Linked DNA regions of Tribolium castaneum. The protein of the gene in region 1 purifies or fractionates together with the protein of each later gene. This does not show direct contact. Links are inferred from orthologs where the notes say so. Each region holds a gene or a part of one and is shown on either strand. Other genes may lie near its edges. The genes, in order: enkurin and armadillo segment polarity protein.

Region 1 (3,130 bases):
ATTTTGATAACAGATCAACCAATCAATTTGTGTGAAAATCACGGAGGACTAAAATTATTTAATTTTCTATAAAAAAAAAAACTAATAAATTAGTCCTCCGCGGTTAATTTGTTCAAAAACAAGCAGTTGAAAAAAACACTATTGGGAATATAAATTGCTTGACTGAAACAGTTGTGTTTCAAAACGAGCTTAATTCTGTAAAATGTGATATTGTTTATGTTTATTTTTAAGTCTGAATGCATGGCTGTACACATGTGATGTATTATTCAATTGAAAAGTTAACATGAATTTTACGTTTTGTGTAGCTTTTTTCTTTCCTTCAATTTTCACCAACGACTCGTTACATCTGCTTATTTTTCACATATTTTACAGCACTTTTTGCCGTTCCGAAAAACTACAAATTGGTAGCCGCACCTCTCTTTGAGCTTTATGACAATTCACAAGGTTATGGGCCGATAATCTCGTCATTACCGCAAGCCCTGTGCAGGTATTTAATCACTAGTGTAATAATTACGTGTTTTATTGACGTGTTTTATTTTTTCCAGATTCCAGTTTATTTATATGTGAACAAACGAAGGTGTTCGTGAATGTAAGCATTTTTTACGTGTTAGCAGTGTGTGTGAGTATGTTGTTTCAGGTATGCAATAGGAGGATAAGGAACAAAAATTGATAAGAAAATTAGTGTTTCTTTTGTAATTTATAAACTACGTTTACTTTTAAGGATAGTGTTTCAAGTGTTACTAAAAGAAAATGATTTTTCTGTTCCGAGTAAATTGATTTAGTACCGTCCCAAATTTCGTTAACCTCCAACCTTACAATTTATACAATTATTTTATTAATTTACAGATAGTATGTTATCGTCGTATACATAAATATAAGGATGTCTTTCCACTAGTACTATATCTTTTTCTAATTGCTTTAGTTCCGCTTCTAGTTTCGATTTTCTGTTTATTTTGGGGATAGTGTCCGTTAAAATGGGCAGGCCCTGGTATTGTTTCTGTAATTCCTCCCAGTTGTGTTTCAGTCCCTGCAATAAAAATTTATTTAAAAAATCAATTTGAAAAAAAAACAGGTTTTGTAGCGATTTTTTTTACACAGGTGATTTAAAAGTCTCAGATGATCTTGTGGGCATCCAACTTAGTTAAAAATTCTTATGACATAACTAAAAATTGTTTCAGCGTTTTTAACGAGATATACCTTTTTAAAAGTTAAGACCTTGGATTAAATCTGTTCTCAGCGTCCAAATAAACTTATTTGGTCATTTTTTTTAAATTTTATTGTATTAGTGTCTCTTATAATCCTGGAAAATGATTTTGTCTCCGAGTTACTGTTTTATTTAAAATTTATTATACAAAAGAACTTAGTTTTTATTTCTTTACATAAGAACTTACGAAGACTTAAAGAAGTTCTTACTGATCTAAAGATAAACCCTCTTTGTAGACGGACCCCAAAGTTAAACTACATAATTTCTGATAATTTTAATTATTATGTAACTCACCTCAATATAAGAAACTAATTTACAAATATTTCAAGTATTGCAATTTGCAGACAAGGCATTATTGTCTTGTTAAGGCCTTGGGATAAATTTGTTCTCTGCGTCCAAATAAACTTATTTGGTCATTTTTTTTAAATTTTATTGTATGAGTGTCTCTTATAAATGTGATACAATCCTGGAAAATGATTCTGACTCCGAGTTACTGTTTTATTTAAAATTTATTATACAAAAGATTTTAGTTTTTATCTCTTTACATAAGAACTGACGAAGACTTAAAGAAGTTTTTACTGATCTAAAGATAAACCCTCTTTATAGACAGACCCCAAAGTTAAACTACATAATTTCTGATAATTGTAATTATTATCTAACTCACCTCAATATAAGACATTAATTTACAAATATTCCAAGTATTGCAATTTGCAGACAAGGCATTATTGTCTTGTTAAGACCTTGGGATAAATTTATTCTCTGCGTCCAAATAAACTTATTTGGTCATTTTTTTTAAATTTTATTGTATGAGTGTCTCTTATAAATGTAATACAATCCTGGAAAATGATTCTGACTCCGAGTTACTGTTTTATTTAAAATTTATTATACAAAAGATTTTAGTTTTTATCTCTTTACATAAGAACTGACGAAGACTTAAAGAAGTTTTTACTGATCTAAAGATAAACCCTCTTTATAGACAGACCCCAAAGTTAAACTACATAATTTCTGATAATTATAATTATTATCTAACTCACCCCAATATAAGAAACTAATTTACAAATATTCCAAGTATTTCAAATTTGCGGGCAGACAAGGCATTATTGTCCTGTAAGTAATCATTTATTTCTTTGTTCAATAATTTATTTAATTTAATTAAATTAATTTACTTATTAAAAACTAAGTATACATAAATCTCTCTTCGTTTGAATTAAGAATTTTTCTACAATTCCTTACTATAAAATTTATAGTAAATTTATTATTCAACTAATAATATTTAATATTATTAATTAAATAATGAAATTACATAATTAAACAAAAAATAAAATCGAAATTTTCTGATTTCTAGTCATTCCAAAATAGCGATGCATAAAAAAAGCTACAAATAAAGGTCGAAAATTACATTATTTTGGGCCTTTTTTGTTCAATTTTATCTTGTTTTTGAGAGAGGACTCAGTTCTTTGTACACTTTATTCAAAAATGACTAAATTAAGTCGAAATTAGTTATTAATTCTTTGGGCTTGTTCTTAGTGATTTTGTTTTATTTGTATTTTTATTTTGATCTATTTCGTCAGTTTTAACTCATTTATAATTTATCGATAAGTGAGAAACTTACTTGTTTTGCGAAATTTCCCTAACAATTCTGTGTAATTACGAATTAATTTATTAGTGATATTATTTTTTTCTTTTTCAAATGCTGGAGCACATTTTCCAATTAAAAATTCACTATTCTCGCGAAATTTTACTCAGCAATAATAGACTAAAAGAAAACCAATAAAGATTGAAAATTACGTTGCTTTTTCGCACGAAAACTAACTAATTTCACATAATTTCCCTAAAATTGTTAAACAATTTATTGTATTATACTTAGTCTTCTTAGGATTTAGGTTAGTTTCGATTTTTTTAAATAAAGATTTTATTTGGAAAAAC
Region 2 (3,837 bases), on another chromosome or scaffold:
ATGTTACGATATAAATATAAATAATAAATACTTTTGTAACTTATCTTCAATAAGAAGCAGTAATTTTTTTTATTATTTGTTTAGTGGTCACTGATCAGTAAGGCCCAATAGTGTGTCTGCGACTTTTGATGTACCCGATTTTGCTTTTTATTTTTGCTTTACTTTTAAGGATCTCATTTTATTTTGCTGACCATCACATAACAAAATACAATACTAGTATAAAAAATAATAATCGTATTTTCAATTTAATTTCTTTTTATTCCTTTAGTTAATTACTGGTATTATTTTAGAATATAAATTTTTATTTTTCTAGAGGTGAAGAAAATTTCAATTGTTTTCTATTTTTTATAAAAGCGGCACTCATTTTTGATTTTCAATTTTGAACAGCAATTTATTCTTATTAGTTATTAACTTATTACTTAGGGCCATTTTCATAACCATAATAAGGATTATTAAATTAAATGTTGCTTATAAAGTGCTCGTTTTTACGATTTGTTGACAAACTTTACACATTTTAATAATTTAATTTAATGCTCTTTTAAATTCGGTTATGAAACTGGCCCGTCATCATAAAAATAAGTAAGACTTCTGATAACTAGTCCATCAAATTCAAATTATACGGGGTTAAATAACTAAGAATCTTTTTTTATTGTTTAAAATTGAATTTTAAAGTCAATGCCAAGGGTTGCGAAAGAGAAGAATAGAATTTTCGCCTGAGACATGTGCTTATCTAAAGCTAAAGTGCTACTTATAACAGTCCTTATCGGGATATTACCAGCGTTATTAAATATAATTATGTATGAGATTCGTTTATTTTTGTTTCCTCATGCAAATAGGGGATTATCCCGACCATCAGCACATGTTGAAATTCCCTTTGTTGGTTTCGCACGAACACGTAATAATGACCACGTCACTTCCAACCCATGAACAACTCGCAAACAAATGTACTAGGGGATTGCATCCTCTTTAATAATCCACTTATACTTTGTAATCGTGAGTTCCCATTAATAAACTCCCAAGTTTTTACCCCCTTCATTACTATGTATTCAAGCTGGATTTTCTCTCATGTAAGTCTCAAAGTGACACAGTTATTTTTGTCCAGTCTCGCAGAGCCACTATCAGGGGGGCCCCGGTGATTTACCCATGCCGCCCGCGAAAGAACAGACCCTCATGTGGCAACAAAACTCGTACATGGGCGACTCCGGCATCCACTCCGGAGCCGCCACCCAGGTACCATCCCTGAGCGGGAAGGAAGAAGACATGGACCTCTTTGACTTGGATCAAGGATACTCCCAAGGCTTCACCCAGGATCAGGTCGACGAAATGAACAACCAGCTCAACCAGACGCGCTCGCAGAGGGTCAGAGCTGCCATGTTTCCGGAGACTTTGGACGAAGGGATCGAAATCCCCTCGACTCAGTTCGATCCCAGCCACCAGACGGCCGTTCAAAGGCTCTCCGAGCCGAGTCAAATGCTCAAACATGCAGTCGTCAATCTAATCAATTATCAAGACGACGCGGATTTGGCGACTCGTGCCATCCCCGAGCTGATCAAACTATTGAACGACGAAGACCAAGTGGTTGTTTCGCAAGCCGCGATGATGGTCCACCAGCTCTCCAAGAAAGAGGCTTCGAGGCACGCGATCATGAACAGTCCGCAAATGGTGGCAGCGCTAGTGAGGGCCATTTCCAACTCGAATGACCTGGAAACGACCAAAGGTGCAGTCGGCACCTTGCACAAATTATCGCACCATCGGCAAGGTCTCCTGGCCATCTTCAAAAGCGGGGGAATTCCAGCATTGGTCAAACTGCTGAGCTCCCCGGTTGAAAGTGTGCTCTTTTACGCCATCACCACCTTGCACAATTTATTGCTTCACCAAGACGGCTCCAAAATGGCCGTCCGCTTAGCCGGAGGCTTGCAAAAAATGGTCGCGTTGTTGCAACGAAACAACGTCAAGTTCTTGGCAATTGTGACCGACTGTTTGCAAATCCTGGCGTACGGCAACCAGGAGAGCAAACTGATTATTCTGGCATCGCAAGGTCCCATCGAACTCGTGAGAATCATGCGGTCGTACGACTACGAGAAGTTGCTCTGGACGACGTCCCGAGTCTTGAAAGTCCTATCCGTGTGTCCGAGCAACAAGCCGGCCATCGTCGAAGCCGGCGGCATGCAAGCCCTGGCCATGCACCTGGGGAACCCCAGCGGCCGCCTCGTGCAGAACTGCCTCTGGACCTTGCGTAACCTCTCCGATGCCGCGACCAAAGTCGACGGTCTCGAAGGCTTGCTCAGTTCCCTGGTGCAGGTTTTGAACTCGCAAGACGTCCACGTCGTTACTTGCGCTTCTGGTATTTTGTCTAACCTGACGTGTAACAACCAACGCAACAAAGTCACCGTTTGCCAAGTCGGTGGTGTTGATGCCCTTGTGCGCACAATTGTGAGCGCTGGGGATCGTGAGGAGATCACAGAACCGGCCGTTTGCGCTTTGCGACATCTCACGTCGAGACATGTGGAGTCGGAAATGGCGCAAAATGCAGTCAGGTTGAATTACGGTATTCAAGTTATCGTGAAGTTGTTGAATCCGCCATCGCGTTGGCCGCTAGTCAAGGCCGTTATCGGGCTTATCAGGAATTTAGCGCTGTGTCCGGCCAATCATGCACCACTAAGGGAGCATGGGGCGATACATCATTTGGTGCAGCTGCTGATGAGGGCCTTCCAGGACACACAGAGGGTAAGACATTGCAGTTACTTATTGTATCTGTTACGGCTAGTGTGTAAACTTGGCTAGTTTGTAAACTAGTCAGACCATTCGCTATTTTAATAGAAAACACAGTTTCAACTAAAATAGCGGCTAGTTTACAAATTAGCCAAGAATCTTTGCTATTTTACTGGAAAGATAAAATAACTGAATAGTTTATAGATTATTCTAAGACATTCTGGCTAGGTAATATGAATACCATACTTTATCGTAATACAAAATATCCAATTTATATAAGTTTATTTGTTTATTTAAATTACGGACACAATCATATTTGAGACTTTTAATAAACACCGGTTTTTTTTCTTAATTCTTCTTGTGCTACGACAGCATTTTCGATCTTAAGGGTGGGTATACAATATTTAACGGTTCTATTTTGTTTTCACTTATTAAACTTTTTTATTCTCATTATTATTCTGTAACTTACTTCGTATAGTACTTACGCCTGTTTTATATAATTATTGATTTGAAGTTTTTGCTAATAAATGAGAGCTTTGAGCTTTAAACTAGAACCATTTCTGGTCTAGATAACTTGACCTCAGGATTTCTTTTCAATTTCTACTTTTGAAGATTTACATATTACACACAATAAAAAATTAAAATTGAATTTTTAATATATTATGGTTCAGTATTTTATTTGCTTCTCTTTTTTGTAAGATTTTTGGACTTCAAGGGCAAGCTTGTAGAAGTATTTTTTTGAAACTGTTTGTAATATTCGGAATTATTTATGAAGAATTGCAATTAGATAATTTTTTCATTACAATTAATGAAGCCTCTAACTTACAGTTAGAATCTTAGGGTGTTATAGAAGTTAATTTTAGCATCAACTATGTTGAATAGTTTTTCTTCTTGGAAGGTAAATTTTCATTCTATCTGTCAAGTAAATTAGCCAAGAATTTTGGCTAGTTTACTAACTAGCCAAGGTTACACATTAGCCATAACATAACTACCTTTTCGGATTAAATGAGAAACAAATTCGTTTTATTATTGGGTGTTTGAGCTTGTGAGAGCCAAAAACTCTCCAATAACATTCTGAATTAAACAAAACTATTATGTTTATTAAGGGTAGTCTAACTCTCCGAT

What was found.
Region 2: the proteins of enkurin (region 1) and armadillo segment polarity protein purify together in Homo sapiens (affinity purification with western blotting; 3 studies listed by BioGRID). This does not show direct contact. The link is inferred for Tribolium castaneum from reciprocal best matches to the Homo sapiens genes ENKUR and CTNNB1.

Annotation. Positions count from the first base shown.
Region 1 is NC_087394.1:7,008,595-7,011,724, forward strand, and holds the end of enkurin, read right to left. Parts: intron 1,028-3,130; coding exon 836-1,027; 3' UTR 813-835; downstream 1-812. Other genes in the region: Cpsf5 (cleavage and polyadenylation specificity factor subunit 5), read left to right, coding at 373-487, 546-567. UniProt on the Homo sapiens protein: Adapter that functions to localize a calcium-sensitive signal transduction machinery in sperm to a calcium-permeable ion channel.
Region 2 is NC_087395.1:16,178,640-16,182,476, forward strand, and holds part of armadillo segment polarity protein, read left to right. Parts: intron 1-1,102; coding exon 1,103-2,727; intron 2,728-3,837. UniProt on the Homo sapiens protein: Key downstream component of the canonical Wnt signaling pathway.